Linked DNA regions of Diceros bicornis minor. The protein of the gene in region 1 purifies or fractionates together with the protein of each later gene. This does not show direct contact. Links are inferred from orthologs where the notes say so. Each region holds a gene or a part of one and is shown in the gene's direction. Other genes may lie near its edges.

Evidence for each region.
Region 2: the proteins of CLK3 (region 1) and HSP90AB1 purify together in Homo sapiens (affinity purification with mass spectrometry; 3 studies listed by BioGRID and IntAct, with this or other methods). This does not show direct contact. The link is inferred for Diceros bicornis minor from reciprocal best matches to the Homo sapiens genes CLK3 and HSP90AB1.

What each region holds. Positions count from the first base shown.
Region 1 is NC_080744.1:67,562,794-67,570,795, forward strand, and holds the start of CLK3 (dual specificity protein kinase CLK3), read left to right. Parts: upstream 1-4,927; coding exon 4,928-5,029; intron 5,030-8,002. UniProt on the Homo sapiens protein: Dual specificity kinase acting on both serine/threonine and tyrosine-containing substrates. Phosphorylates serine- and arginine-rich (SR) proteins of the spliceosomal complex.
Region 2 is NC_080753.1:21,617,736-21,625,788, reverse strand, and holds the start of HSP90AB1 (heat shock protein HSP 90-beta), read left to right. Parts: upstream 1-4,997; 5' UTR 4,998-5,093; intron 5,094-6,554; coding exon 6,555-6,701; intron 6,702-7,000; coding exon 7,001-7,207; intron 7,208-7,307; coding exon 7,308-7,467; intron 7,468-7,616; coding exon 7,617-7,750; intron 7,751-7,873; coding exon 7,874-8,053. UniProt on the Homo sapiens protein: Molecular chaperone that promotes the maturation, structural maintenance and proper regulation of specific target proteins involved for instance in cell cycle control and signal transduction. Undergoes a functional cycle linked to its ATPase activity.

The sequences.
Region 1 (8,002 bases):
TGGACCTGTGCCTTGGCTTGTACACAAGGGACTGTGTCCCACAGCTCTGAGAGGCTGCCTGGCTGTTATCACTACAGGCACCAGATGTGCAACCCTCCACCTCCAGCTGGACCTGAAACACTTCAACTCTCTACTCCAGCTGCTGATGGCTTTGGAGCTCCCGCAACAGGACTGGGGATGCTGTCATGGAATGCCAGAAAGTGGGCAGGCATGAGGAGACAGGTTGTCAGCTGGGTCCCCTAGGTCACCTCAGGCCTGGTAGAGAGCAGTGACTCTAGGAGGGTCAGCTGTGGCTGAGACCCCCAGGTCACTAAAGGTTTCAGTATCTAGGCCATCACAGGGTGGCGCTGTCCACACCCTCACATGGGGTAGGGATGCTGGGTACCTCCCCTAGAAGCCTCAGCTTGCATAGTCCCCTTGCTCTCCCTGGGGACTGCAGCTTTCACCAGGGGCCACTGAGCTTCTAAGGAAACTCTTCTGTCCACTGAGCTAAAACAAGCCACCTCCCTCCAACTCTCTCTGGGGGAGGGTCTCCACAGGGACCACGGCCCTTCCTTTGCCTCCATCCAGTGCCCCTAGCCACACCAGGCATGCACTGCACACCTCCAAGGGGCGCCATTCACAGAGGACACTGTTCACAGCAGCCCTGTTGGGGACTTGATCCCCCTTGGTCTCCTTTGGATGCCCCAGACCCTGACAAGCCTCCTTCCTGAGAGCATGACACCAGGTGCAGTTCAGCCTGGTAAGGGGACCTTGCTAGCTCAGGGGACCTCCCAGGGGTTGCGGACAAGCCAGGCAGATCAAGGAGAGAGGACGGAGCCTCACTTTCTGCTTCAGAGCCAGCAGCTCATGCCGGGCCCTGCCAAGTCCTGCTCGCCCTCCTGCCTCTGCAGCACTTGCACTTGCTCCGACCGGGCCTCCAGTGCCGCCTGCAGGTGGCCAGCCAGCTCGGCCGATGCCACCTGCTCTTTGCCAGCCACACCCACAGGTCCTTCTCTGACCGCCTCCAGTCCCGCCGGGGGGGCCCTGTCTGAGCATCTCCCAGAAGAGAGGAGCAGTGCATGCCTCAGCCAGGCCCCGGGGCTGCTGGGCCCACCTTTCCCACACTCACCTGCGCCTTTCAGGGGGGCTCAGTGGGCAGGCACAGTCCAGTGGCCAGAAGTGACGGTGGGGACAGCAGGCGGAGCTGGGCATCTGGTGGGCTCTGCCTTAGGAGGTCCTGAGAGCAGGGCAGATGGTAGCCCCTGGAGCTGGCGCAGGCCTGCCCTCCCAGAGCACCAGCCGCTGAGGCCCCTACTCAGAGGTGGCAACTGAGCCCTGAAGCTGCGCGTGCACTTAAACTCTTCAACCCAACTCCTTGGCCCAGGATTTTCCCAGGTGATTCAGATTTCAAATCAACACCCCAGCCTCAGCTCTGCTAAACAGTTCTCAGTTTGAGCAGTTTCCAGGAGCTGGGTGCTGACTATGGCCTGGCCACTTGAACAACCAAGCTCACTTATTCTCTCGGGTTTGAGGAGGTGGGAGGGAAGCTCAGCAGGGGCAGTAGGTTGCCCCAGGTCATGCAGGGAGTCCACTGTGAACTGGGCCCACGCCCCCCCACCCCTGCTGCTCTCCTTCCCAGTGTGGGAGTCTGGAAATGGCAAGGGTCAGGGAAACATTTGGAGGACACCGTAGTTGAGCTCTGATGTGGGGGTCAGAATCCCTCACATCAAGTCATTGCTCTGGTACCTCTCTGGCTTCCATAACTGCAGCTTTCAGATGGGGGCCCCGACTGCCAAGCCCCACCAGCTTGGTAAGGGAACTCATGGGGTAGATAGGGGCTGCTCAGCTGGTGTTGCCCCCCACTCTACTCCTCCTTACCCCCACCCACTTCACCTCCAGGATTTAGGTGTCAGAATCCCGCCATTTCACCCTACCCACAGCCCTGGGCACCAGGCACCTGCCCCAGCAATGTGTGGGCTTAGGAAGAGGGCACCCCTGAGGAGAGGATGTACTGGGCTGAGCTCCCCCCACTTGACTTGCCCACTGCTCACATTCCCAGACCGGCTCCCTGCTCCTCGCTCAGGATGGCACCACCACCTACCAGGCCCTCCCCCCTCTAGACACCTTGACTGTCCTCTCCCCGGACTCTGGGCCCAGATTCCTGCAGCCCCCTCCTGAGCTGTCTCCCCACATTTCACCATCACACAGGGCCTCTCCAAAATGGACCATGAAGACTGGCCCCGCCCCAACCTGCCATGCCCTGGCGCAGCACACACAACTCCTGGCTGGCTGCTCTGTCTTCCCACTTAGAAGTGGGGCCTCTCCACGGTTGTCCCAGCCGTCACTGAGAACCCGAGCTCTGCTGGCTTGGTTTTGGAGGGGCCCATGGTCTGCTGGAGTGGGGAGTGGCACAGGGCAGACTGCCAAGCTTGTGCAGCCAGCACAGAGGAAAACACAGCCACCGAGTGCCGTGCAAGCACAGGAAAGGGGAGCCTGACTCTCCCGTGGGGTCCCCAGGAAGACTTCCCAGAGAGGTGACCCTGGGGCTTAGGCTGCAAGGTGAATTAACTGCCCCAGTGAAGGCACAGATGGATGTAGCAGAAAGGAGAGAGCAAGGGCAGCAGGACAAGGAGGGACCAGATGAGCTGGCGCCTGGAGGGGGCAGCGGGCTGAGCCAGGAGGGCAAAAGGGAGATTGAGAGGGGCAAGTGGCTGGTGGCAGGGCCCAGGGCAGGGGCATGTCCCTGGTGCCCTTGAATCATGCTGCAGTCCTCAGCCCACACAGAAAAGACTTGGTGGGCACAAGTGTTGAGGCCTGGGAAACAGCTTGGGCCTGAGGGGCAGAGGATTTCAGAGCAAGCCTCCTCCGGAGGTGGCCCACCCCGAGCTCCCCAGGCTCGAGTTGCCAAGGTGTCAGCCATCAGCACTGGAGGAATGAGGTGGGAGAAGGGGCCTGGGGGTGCTGGTAGTTACCCATACTTCACCTCAGAGTAGATCTTGGTGCCTATCTGATATTCTGTCTCTCTTTCTTCTAGGAATGAGTTCTTTTAGGAATAGAGACAAAAGAATGAAGGTCTAATGGTAAAATCTCAGGCGGGACAGCTGCTGGACTGCAGATTTTGGAGAGGAGTTGGGAGATGGCTCCTATGCCACTTCAGAAAAAGAGAGAACTGCTTCGTTACTGGGAGGCAAAGACGCCTGGGTTCTCGATGGTGGGAGGGCTGGTGGGAAGATGGGCCCCTCAGAGCCTGGCCCCCAGGGCAGGGCAGGGCAGGAGACAGGAGCCTCTCTGAGCTCCTCTGCCCTCAGCTGCCGACGTGGTCCTGGCTTCCAGGGGCCATGGAAACCGCGGGAAACACGAAGCGGTGGGAGGAGGAGACACCAGAGTCCTCCCACATCGTCTGACTGGGTGACACCCTGAGATGAACCCCTGCTAGAGTGGCCGCGGCCACAGACCAAGCATCGGGGCCGGGCAAGAATGGCAACTGGGAACCTCCGGCCCCTGAGGCGGGATCCCGAGGGCCGGGCTCTCGGTCACGCACCGCGCACTTGAAGAGGCTCCGGAATTGCTACGTTGGGGCGGGTGCATTTGGTTGGAAGGGGACCAGGAGCCGGCCTTGAGGCCGCGTTAGCGTAGCAAGCATCCTGTTTTTACTTAGCTTCGGTTGTTGACTTCGGTTGTGGCTAACGGAGATTTGAGGGGTACTAGGCACCCTCTCAAGCCACGCCTTCAGACCCCAGTTTAGAGGGAAGCCAGAGGCTAAGGACTCAAAAGACCGCCGCAACTCCGTGAGAGCCTCGGCGCGGGCCGCGCCCGCCGGGCGGGGAGACACCGCCTCGCGTCAGGGGCGTGCCCAGCCCTCATGGGGCGGGGCCGCAGGGGCGGCCCGTGCCCGCGGCGCTGGGGAAGCCCCGGCCACTCTCGCGGAGTCGCCCCGGGGGACGGGGCCTGTAGCGATGCCCCGCCCTCCTGCTCCGGCCCCTGCGTGGCGTGGGGGCAATTAGGGGCCGCTCCCGCCGGCTTCGCTGAGGGGACGCCAGCCCCGCCCGGCGGGGCGTGCACGCCCCGAACCGTGAGGTCTCGCGAAGGATTCGGCCTGTTTCCTCATCCGGAAAACGGGGGCCTCGTTATCCCGCCCTGACCGGCGCGGGACAGTCGGTGGGAGGGGTTTTGGTGATCCCACGCTCGCGACCTCGGCTGAAGGGGTCGTCGAGTGACTCGGCGCAGAAATGGCCGAAGGCCTGACGGCGGCAGGGCGCGGGGTTTATTAGCTGAGAACCATTGCTGGCCCGCTGACTGCGGTGCTCAAGGAAAGGGGCCCCCCCTGTAGCCCAGACCCCATCCTCCGAGGCCCCGCCGACGGGGCTCTCGGGCATCTTCCCAGACACTGCTCTGCATGCACCTGGAAGCTTGGGCGTGCCGCCATGGCTTTAAAACCCCCCCACACAAGGAGAATAAGGTCTCATTTGCTTCTTTCACGTAACCGGGTGATGACCGCCTTCCCGAGCCTCAGGCACAGAGCTCCATCCTCTTTAGCGCCCTCCTGGGCCCCGGCACCGGGCGAGCGTTCAAGGTCCACCCGGTTCTCACTGAGCCGACAGCGAAACAATGCCCTGCCCGCGCGCAGGAAGGGTTGGCGGGCACGGGCGGGGTCGGGGCGGCAGAGCGGGCCAGCCCCCGGCCAGGTCGGGGCTCCACCTTCCGGCTCCTAGCGCCCGCCGGCGGGGGACGGCGCCTCTGTCGCGTCTTTGGGGCCTACGTGCGTCGCGACACGGCGCGGGGCGGGCCGCGGCCTGGGACGTCCCCTCGGCTCTCCCGGAACCAGTCTCCACGACTGCCGCACCGACCGGGGCGGAGAAGGCGGGTCCTCCAGAGCCTTCGAGGCGGGGGCTAGAGCGGCCAGGCCACCGAGGCGGGTCGAGCCGGGGCTGGCGACGGCTGCGTCATGCGAAGGGCGGGGCCGCCACGGGCGGAGGCCGGAGCCGGAAGCGGAAGAGGCGCTCGGAGCTGGGAGTGGGGCCTAGCTGCAGCCGGAGCCTGGGAGACGGTGAGTGTGGGCCCGGGCCCGCGAGGGCGGCGGCGGCGGCGGCGGGGTCTGAGTCGTCGGGGCGGGCTCGCTGGGTGCGGTACCCCGGGCTCCTGGTTCGGTCTTGGCCTCCTCTCGTTCCTTCTCGTCGGCTCAGTTCAGGCCGCGGCCCCGACCTCTCACCCCTGACCCGCCACTTCTCCCCCGGAGGGCGGTCACCACAGACCCCGACCTCTCGATCCCGCGGTGTCGGAGTCCGAGTCTGAGGGGCCTCTGAGGTCCCTGCAGGGATCCAGTTTCGGCCCTGCACCTGCCCGAGGAAATGGGGTCGGGGTCCTACGCGGGATAGCCTGGAGGGGCCTTCAGACCCCACCCCCCCAACTCCCCTCGAGGCTTGTTCCGCAGACGACTCCTTCCTGCGCGTCCTGGCGTTTGATTCTGCTCCAGGCTGGCCTTCCTCCTGCCCCCCAGATCTCCCCTTGCTGCCATTGGCGGCGGTTACGGGCCACCGGGCTCTGGGACCTGAGGTGACAGGAAGGGACGCCAGCGAGGGCCGCGGGCTCCCTGCGTGTTTTGTTGTGATGGTGGAGCCGTTCCAGCCCGGGGGAGGGGCCTGGCCAAGCTGACGGTACAAATGCCCCGGCTGCTCTTCGGCCCGAGCGGCCCGGGAGTCTCTGTGCTTTAGTTCCGGGTGTGGGTGCCCTGGTGTGGAGCTGGGTTGGGGATTGCCTGAGCCAGGCCCCCGTCGAGGCGGAGTTGGCGGCCTTCCAGCTTCCCTTCTCCATGCCCTTGAAAAGGAGGAGCGTTTCACCCGGTGGTGGCAGCTTGCAAGGTGGCAGGTTTGAGGTTGCAGTGGTGGGGCAGCGTCAGCCAAAAATAACCATGGGGCGCTGGGGTGGTAGGGATCCGGGAGGGCAGCCGCTGACCTGGCTGGCTGCTCTTCTTGTCAGCCCAGTTCTCTGGCCAGGAACGGCAGATGAGAAGCCAGCTCGGCCTGTGCTCAGAGAAAAGCTGGCATCTTCCGCCTGGTTTCCTTCATATTACCTTTCTCTTCATTGTGCAGAGCAGAGCTCTCTGGAGCATAATTGTGGCCCTTAGCATTTTGAAATAACCCGTTTGCTGTGGTCTCAGAGAATCAGAGATAATTGATGAGAAATGGGCCCTAGGGGCCGGCCCCATGGCGCAAGCAGTTAAGTGCGCGCTCTCCGCTGCGGCGGCCCGGGGTTCGCCGGTTCGGATCCCGGGTGCGCACCCACACACCGCTTGTCAAGCCACGCTATGGCGGCGTCCTATATAAAGTGGAGGAAGATAGGCACGGATGTTAGCCCAGGGCCAGTCTTCCTCAGCGAAAAAAGAGGAGGATTGGCAGATGTTAGCACAGGGCTGATCTCCTCACAAAAAAAAAAAAAAAGAAAAAACAAATGGGCCCTAGAGCCCTGGCTGGGAAGATAATGAGGGGCATGTAGTATTTCCAGTGTTTCACTTGCCTAGAATGTGTTAAAGGAGAGGTTATTTTCTTTGATTGCCTTGTGTGTGGTACTTCATAGCTCTCATACTTGTCATCTCCTTTGCCAAGTTGGCTGGGAGGTGGTGGTGTCTCCATTTTCCAGGTATAGTAACCAAGGCCTAGAGTGACTTGTATAAGGTCAGGAGGCCAGTAAGTGGCAGCACTGGGATTTAGTTTAGGGTTTTCTACTTAGAGCCTGCACCTTCACCCCCCCAACCTTGGAAAGGACTTTGGAATCTTTTTAATGTTGTTAACGAAAAGCTGCCTTCAGTACTTCTTGTGGGCCCAGACCTGTGCTAGGCATTTGACCTGAAGGCATGTGCTAGGCATGTACTTAAAGGAGTAACATAATTTAATCTTCACAGAACCCTGTAAGAAATTACTATTCCCTTGTTGCAAGAGGAAGCTGAAGGTCAGAGTAGTCTAATAACTTGCCTAAAGGCACACAGCGAGAAGTGGCAGTGCCAGGATTCAGATTGACATCTATCTAACTCTGAAGACGTCTTCTCTCCACTAATATCACCATGTGTGGACATAAGATCTTCTAGGTCCCAGGAGGGAGTCTTAGGCCTAGGACTAGACCATGTCCTCCAGCTCTGTCTGTGCAGTCAGGATAGGCAGGGCGTCTGCCCTGGCTACTGGAGCATCTTCCATGTCACTTAGTGAGTGAGATGTGAGATAGCACCTTCATTCCATAGCTTGGGCACCTGACCAGGGTCATTGCAGAAAAACAGTGAAACATTAGTCAGCTGAGCATCAAAACAGAAGAGCAGTCTAAGCTCTTGAGGAGTTGCCAGTGATTTTACATAGTATTTGTCTCGAAGGATCACGAGGGCCTGGACTTCCAAGTAGACAGGGGAAGACACGTGCTAATGGGGAAATTGAGGGCAGTGACTTTCTCAGGATCAAGGAGAAGCTCCCAGGGGTTTGGTCAGATATGCCTTGCTGTCATGCTGTTCCAAGGGGAGACGTTGTGCTCTCCTCCTGACAAACCCTTCTCATGAGATGGGGCAGCCTCACTGGGTTTGTCCAAAATGTGCTTGGTCAAGCAAGCCCAGGACTGACTACCACTGGAGGTTGGCAGAGAGGCTGGCCACGATCTCTGGCCCAGCCTTCCCCTGGAGGCAATGTCAGGGTTTTGGCTGTGGGTGGAACAGGGAGCTGGCCTCACATAGCCATCTTTCTCAGCTGGTAGCCGATCCAACCTGGCAATTTCCTGTGGTGGGTGTAAGTCCCTGCTGAACAGGGATAGTGAGGTGGGGCCCTTTTGGCCTGCCTCCCGAGCACAGAAGCCTGCCAGACAGCCAACCCTTTGGCTACTCCTGAGATGGGTGCAGGAGAGGCTACTGGAACAGGGGAGCTAGAAGAAGGGACAGTAGAGGTACTGTCGGATAGAGGTGAGGTGCTGCCTGGCATGGCGCTGCAGTGGTCTGAGAGCGCTAAATGGGCATTGGGCAAGACACTTGGATGCTCTGAGGACCCTGGCA
Region 2 (8,053 bases), on another chromosome or scaffold:
ATAAGACATGAAAAACAATTTTAGGAATGAAAAAGGAGACAGAGCAGAGATTAAAAAAACAAAGAGCTTTCAAGAAACCTCCAGAAAAATTATTAAATAAAATTGACTCAAGGAAAACCTGAATAGTTTTATACCATTAACAACAAATTGAGTCCTTAGTTAAAATGTTTCCATACAGAAAACAACAGACTCAGGCAGTTTTATAGGTGAGTTCTATAAAATTTTAAAGAAATAGATCATTTCTGTCTAATATTAGTAAGTCTGTTAATGAATTAAACATATAAATAGATTAAAGAGATTTTTAAAACAATATTCTCAGTAGATGCAGAAAAATAATTTTGATACCTATTCAGATTAAAATTTATAACAAGTTAGAAATAGAAAGAGTAAATATTGTGCTCGATGGTGAAGTGTTAGAAGCATGCCTTTTCTGATCAGAAATGAGGCAGGGATGTCCAGAATCACTGTTTCTACTCCTCACTGTTCAGCAGGTCTTAGCTGGTTCAGTATAACAAGAAATAAGAGACACAAGGATTAGAAAGGAGAAACCAAGCTGTCTTTGTTCGGAGATGATAGATAGGGTTATACCTAGAAAACACCAAAAAACTGACAGACAAATTAAGAACTAATAAGCTAGTTAACCGAGTTCTGGAATCAATAAAGAAAAATTGATTGCTTTTCAAACTCTCCGGGAGTTTGGAGAGTAATGGTAAAAAATGGAAAAAATTTCCATTTACCATAGGGTCAAAAAAATATCGCACTAACAATAAAGTGAGAGAAAGTTCTGCAAGAGATGTCTCATGTCCCAGCAGAATGTGGAAACTGAGGCAAAGAGATGGAGCCCAGGCTGGCCGTGCAGAGCTGCTCAATTGTCGAACGTATGTGAACGTCAAGTCCAATGGCCTGTGAGGATGTCAGTTCAGGGTATTCCCTGTGGAATTCAGAGATGTAGGCCTCAGGCAACTGGGAAGGACCAGAACCAACAGGAACATCGGACAGAGCTGAGCTTGGGAGGCTGCTTGTTCTGGGCATTAAGGACCCACAGCTACTCCCCATGGTAATATAATCCCCGACGTCCTGATGCCCCTGGTTGCTTTATTCATCCATTGCCCCTTATCTAAGCTGCCCTCAGTGGCCTCCCCAATCCCCGTGAAAGGCCAGTGGTGCCGCTAACTAGGAGCATTCCCAGTTAGAGCAGCAGCAGGAGGCCTCTGCCCAGGTGAGTCTCTGCTCCCTTCCCTTAGCTCTAGCTAGATTGGAGGTCTGCTAACCTTTTCTGTAAAAAATAAGAAAGTAAATATTTCACACTTTGCAAGCTATGTGGTCTGTGTCGTAACCAGCAACTCCGTCATTATAGCACGAAAGCAGTCAAAGACAATGTGTAAACAATGAGTGTTGCTGTGTTTGAGTAAAACTTTATGGACACAGGGCTGGCCCCCTGGCTTAGCGGTTAAGTCCGCGCGCTCAGGCTCAGCTACTGGCGGCCCAGGTTCGGAGCCCGGGGGCGCACTGACGCACCGCTTGTCCGGCCATGCTGAGGCCGTGTCCCACATACAGCAACTAGAAGGATGTGCAACTATGACATACAACTATCTACTGGGGCTTCGGGGGGAAAAAAAGGAGGAGGATTGGCAATAGATGTTAGCTCAGAGCCGGTCTTCCTCAGCAAAAAGAGGAGGATTAGCATGGATGTTAGCTCAGGGCTGACCTTCCTCACAAAAAAAATAAATAAATAAAACTGTTTGAAAAAAAAAAAACTTTACGTACACAAATTCAAATTTCACATACTTTTCACATGCCAAAATATTATCCTTCTTTTGATTTTTTTCAACCATTAAAAAAATGTAAAAACCATTCTTACCCATAGGCCACACAAAAACAAAGACAGGCCTACCAGCTACAGGCAAGTTCGTCCATCCTTGCTTCATCTGGCCGCCCTCCAGCAGCAGAAGGTTGGGCTGGGTCTCTGAGGCCTGATCAGGAATGAAGGGTATCTTGAGAACATCAAGGGTTGCAAGTGCTGCTGGGAATAGGCTTCTGGAGATCCAGGGGGTTTTAAGCTGTCTTTGATAGCCTTCAGGGGCTTCCCTCACCCTAAGTTAAGGTCAGAACTTCTAAGGGCATTTGTGGCCCTCTGTGACCTGACCCCTGCCTGCAGGGCCACTTTCAGCTCCCCCTGCCTCCCTCAGGGGTTCCTGGGCTATGGTCCTTCTGTCAGGACTGTGCCTTTCCATGCTTTTCCCTCTCCTGGGAGTGGACCTGTGCCATTGCCTAGCTAGCCACAGCCCTAAGCCTGCCCCCTTCCCCAGGCTGAGCTGGGAGTCTCGGATGCTTCTCCCACATTGCTATGATTCACATCCCGCCTGCTGCAGCCTCCAGTGGCCTAACAGCTCTCTGTCCTGTTTGTGCATCTCTGCATCCCCAGGTGAGGCTCACAGCGGGGGCTTAGTGAGTGTCAGTGAATGGGAGAAGTCGTCCTGGAAGGCTTCCAGGAGAGAAAGTGGAATTTCTGTGCTGGGGCAAGATTTGAGACTTTCCCATTAAGAAACCCCTGAGGGCCAGGGCTGGCCCAGTTACATAGCCGTTAAGTTCCGCTTGGGTGGCCTAGGGTTCCTCAGTTCAGATCCTGGGCGCCGACCTAAGCACCGCTTGTCAAGCCATGCTGAGGCAGCGTCCCACCTAGAGCAACTAGAAAGATGTGCAACTATGACATGCAACTGTCTACTGGGGCTTTGGGGAGAAAAAGGGAACAAAGGAGGCAGATTGGCAACAGATGTAAGCTCAGGGCCAATCTTCCCCCCACATCCCCAAAAAAAGACTCTAAAGAAAAAACAAACCCCTGAGGAGTCTCTGGTCCCAGCACTGATCCACAGGAGTGATTCCTGCTCTGCTAAGGACTTGGGTCCTAGGAGGGGAGACAGCATCCCCACTCCATTTCTGGAGCAGGGAGCAAGGGAGTTAGTGGAGCAAAGGCTCTGAGTTGATGGACCCTGGGGTAGTCACTGGAGCCTTCCTTTCCCAGTTCACAGAACGTGCAGACTCACTTTCACCTCTTCACAGGACTGTGGGATGTTGTGAATGCTCTTTGAGCAGGGAGCAGATTTTTAATTGGCTAGGCCCCTTCTGCCCAGAGGGAAGAGAGAGGGTGTGTTGAGAGATGATGCTTCTGGTTTGAGATTTCCTTTGGGAACAGAACATCCTGAGACCTTCCTGGCAGCAGCACCCATGCACTTTCCCACACTCACTGACCCCTCCGAGCCTCAGGTTTCTCAAAGATCACAACGAAGGGGAGTAAAAGGGTAAGGAGAGATGAAATTGAGGTGATGGTGATGAAGTCTGGAGTGTGGGGCAAGAAAGAGGAAAGCAAGGGCCCTTTGTTCTTTGCAATTCAGCACAGGAAGGAAGAAAATATGAAGGAAGGGAGGCTGAACACCAGGGCCGTGACGGTGACGACGCCTGCGGGTGGGGGCGGGAATCCCTCCGCAGCATTCCAGGGGCAGGCAGAGTGGGCCAGGAGGGAGTTGATGGACATCTACAAGGTCAGAGCAGGGAGCGGCCCTTCTCTCGTGGTGGGGCTGTAGATCGGGTATGGTTCCGCACGATGAGGCCTTGGAAAGGCAAGGACAGCTTGCCAGCTGGGGGACACGCAAAAAGGGCAGAGCCAGGAGAGGCATGGAGTCCCGCAGCTCGGTGGGCAGGCGCACGGCCTGGGGGCCCCAGTGCCACAGCTGAAGGGGAACAACTTGGTTCTGGCCGCCCTCTGGCCAGCGTCTTCCTGCGGTCTCCAAGAGCCTCTGCCACCCTGCAGGGATCCCTGGAGACCCTGCCCTCCCCAAGTCTAGGCAGCTGCAGGAGGGAAGAAGGCGAAAAAAACGAAACAATTCTGAGAAACAGCTAGATGTGCTTGTGTAGGGAAGACGCAAGTCTCTGCGTTCCACACGAGTGGGCGGCTGCAGAGGCTGGGGAGGGTCCCTCCGGTAGCGGCCCCGTTCCCGGTCTCGGCTTGCTGAAGGCGGCGCCCGCAGAGCCGCCCCAACAGCCAGTGTGCTGTGTGATTGACGGGGAGAGGAGGGGTCGAGCAACCATTCCCTCTACGCTCCATCCCCGCCACGAGCCCGTCCCGGGTAGCTAAGCCTGGTGGGTGGGGAAGAGGGTCCCGCCTTCCGACTGGACCTAACAGTAAAAGGAATTGGGGTACCCTTTACCTCCCCGGGAACCATGGCAGAACGGTCGCGGGGCGGAGCCGCAGCACACGCCGCAGCGGGCGGGGCGGAGCCTCGAGGGAACGGGCGGGGAGGAGGCGGGGCCTCCGAGGCGGGCCTGGAAACTGCTGGAAGTAATCGCAGTACCGCCGTCGTCGCTCCTTCCGCCGCGCGCGGGCAAAGAGTCCCCCGCCAGCCTAGGCCGGCGCCCCTCCCCCAGCCAGAGCCACACCTCGTAGCGAAACGCCGGTCTTTTCCCCTGTCCCCGAGAGGGCCGGGACCCCGGGGCTGCCCATAGCTGGGCCTCGATTTCCGCACCGTCCCCGGAGAAAACCCCTCCCCCTTATCGGGATGTAGGAATGCGTAGGGCAGATTCTAGGAGAGAGGTCGAGCCTGGGAACGGAGGTCGGAGTGGTTGGCCGCCTCCACCCCTGTTGTTAGGTGTCCCTCGAAGGCGGGACTCTTGGGTGTCCTTGCCCCACAGATCTTTAGGGAGGTCAGTGGGACGCTGGCCCCTAGATCCACCGCTTATGTCACATGAGCATTCTCAATCTCTAGCTCAGGTGGGGTCATGCCTTGGAAGCGCTGAGACGCGTACGCTCTACATGCACACCAAGGACAGCTGCTCTCGCCTTTCACCGCCCCCACCGCTACTTTGGACCATGACGTCAAGGTAGGCGGGCGGCGGCAGGTGCGGGGCTGACAGGCATCCTCCTTTAGAGCGGAGGGATCCGGGGGCGGGCAGCTGGGCTGTGCTTCGCCTTATATAGAGCGACTAGGGGCGCACAACCGCTCTCTTGAGTCACCCCCTCGCAGGCCCGTTGTGGCGTGTGAGCCGGCCACAGTCTGCCCACCTTGCTCCTGTAGTCTTTGCCATCCTTCCCCGTTAAGGTAAGGCCGCGGTTTTCTCCTTCCGGCGTTTCTGTCTTGAGCCCTCTTTCGAGTTGCTTTCGTCCCCCCGTCCTTTCCAAAGGCCTAATTTTCTTCACTGGGGCGGCCTTTAGGATACCACTCCTCCTGATTTCTCTCGGAAGTGGGTGGGAGGGACCCCTCGAGGTTGGCATGTTTTTCTCCTATGCTTGGGTGGCAGGCCTTCTCTCAGGCGGCGACTATCTACGGGCGAGATGGGCCTCGGCGTGGGGCTGGGTAGTGGGCAGCTGCACGTGGTGGCCGCGCCGGCCCGGGACGCTGCCATGTTTGCTCCTCCACTTCCGGACGCGACTACGGGGCGCCGGAGGGTCCGCAAGGGTCGTGGGTGTGCGCGCTCGGCGTGACTCAGCTCGGCCTGGTGCTGGCCTGGTTTTGCCACCTCTTGTATGAGACGCGTTTTTCAAGTCTAGTCGGTTCCTTCATGTGAGGGTCCGCGACGAGGAACGCTTTCGATCTCTTGTGGCCCGTCGTGCTTTCTCCTTCCAGATCTTTCTTGCAGTCCTGGTGGAGGAGGAGGGGAGGGGGCAGGCTCTGGGAGATTAATGGGCTCTTTGCTCCCCCGCCCCTCTCCGAGAGCTGAGATTGTTCTGGAAGCTTCTGGAGCCCGGCGCCCCGCCCTGGTGCTCGGATGCTGGGGCGAAGGGAGGCTGCGCGGCGGCGCCCCCTCCTCGTGTGTCCCCGGCCGACGCATGTCCGGCAGTGACGAGGGTCGGCCTGGTGGACCACGGCCACCATCTTAGTTGTGTTTGGTTTGGCACTCTACTTTGGTCACATGTGTTGAGGTGTCGCGATGGAGCTTTTGCTTTATCGGTTCTTTGTCTTAATAGCACCCTGGGCGGGTATCCCACTCATCTTAGGGGTTATCCTCCTCTAGTGTGTGAGGCTGCAATGTCACTTTCCCTCGACGTAGGAGATAATCTAGTGGGAGAGCAGTTTCAAATCATTGCCGTTTTAAAAGTAGTCACGTTGGGTTTTTTTTGCCATGTCAAAAAAGGTAATACAATTGTAGTTAGTGATTTCCACATTGAAAGGTGCGTGTGGATTATCTGGGACTCTCTCTCGTTCAAGATAATCTGCATTAGGTGTAGTCTTACAGTTCTAACAAAGCTCCTAGGTGATGCTGAGGCTTCTGGTCCATGGACCACTTAGAGTAGTTTGGATCCAAGATACTTTCCAAAAGACCTGACCTCATATTTTGTTGAACATGTTGGTTTTTCTGTTCTCCCAATTGGTTTCCCGCTGAGGGTGCAGCCTGAAATCTTTTGAAGGAAAGGGTCTTCAGTCTCTTGAGAATGGATACCAGGCAGCTCAAAGCAGTTTGAACTAAATCTCTTCATCTTCATTGTGACTGGGGTGAACTTGAGGAGTCTTAAATTTGAGATCATGGTGTTCTTTAGTAATCCTTGACCATTCTTATTTTAGATGCCTGAGGAAGTGCACCATGGAGAGGAGGAGGTGGAGACTTTCGCCTTTCAGGCGGAAATTGCGCAGCTCATGTCTCTCATCATCAATACCTTCTATTCAAACAAGGAAATTTTCCTTCGGGAGTTGATCAGTAATGCGTCTGATGTGAGTGCTCAGAGCGTTGTCTTGGGTGTTGTTTTTTTTAGCACTCCAGAAAAGGGAAGAGGGGGTGGTTTGGTATTTTGTAGGGCCTGCTATTGAAGGGGATAAATCTGCTGCAGTTACAAAAGGGTTTGCCTTGTTCCACTTCGATAGAGAAGATATTGTAACTGTAACTGGTTCTTAAATGTCAAGGGATAATCAGAATTGAGGCTATTTGGGAGTAAAAATGGAAAAAGTTTTCTTTTGGATGAAGGGAAGGGCTTTAGGAAAGCAGAATTGTAAGTTGCAATTTATGTTTTCAGGCCTTGGACAAGATTCGCTATGAGAGCCTGACAGACCCTTCCAAGTTGGACAGTGGTAAAGAGTTGAAAATTGACATCATCCCCAACCCCCAGGAACGCACCCTGACACTGGTGGACACAGGCATTGGTATGACCAAAGCTGATCTCATAAATAATTTGGGAACCATTGCCAAGTCTGGTACTAAAGCATTTATGGAGGCTCTTCAGGTATGTGATATTTTAGCTAGGCAGGCACAATTCCTCATTATCAGTGTTCTTTAGCTTGCTATTTCTTCAAAATTTGTGTTTAACTTTTTAACTTTGGCAGGCTGGTGCAGACATTTCCATGATTGGACAATTTGGTGTTGGTTTTTATTCTGCTTACCTGGTGGCAGAGAAAGTGGTTGTGATCACAAAGCACAATGATGATGAGCAGTATGCCTGGGAGTCTTCTGCTGGGGGTTCCTTTACTGTGCGTGCTGACCATGGTAAGTAGGCTATCCTGTTGAGATATCTGGGTTAGAGTTCTGGGGAAGCCTATAATAGAGATTTTGAGCATCTTATCTATAAAGCAGTTATCTTTTGGTATAGTTCTGGGTTTAGTTTCATCTTTACTTCACTGTGATTGACTTTCTAGGTGAGCCCATTGGCCGGGGTACCAAAGTGATCCTCCACCTTAAAGAAGACCAGACAGAGTACTTAGAGGAGAGGCGGGTCAAAGAAGTGGTGAAGAAGCACTCACAGTTCATAGGTTATCCCATCACCCTTTATGTGAGTATGGGCTGGTAACTCTCACATGGATGATGTCTGCTGCTCTGGAAAATTGCATGGTCCTGATTTTTGTGTTTCTCCTAGTATTCTGTATTCTGAAACTATTGTCTTTGGTACATTCAGTTGGAGAAAGAACGAGAGAAAGAAATCAGTGATGACGAGGCAGAGGAAGAAAAAGGTGAGAAAGAAGAGGAAGATAAAGATGAGGAGGAGAAGCCCAAGATCGAAGATGTGGGCTCAGATGAGGAGGATGATAGTAGTAAGGATAAGAAAAAGAAAACAAAGAAGATTAAGGAGAAATAT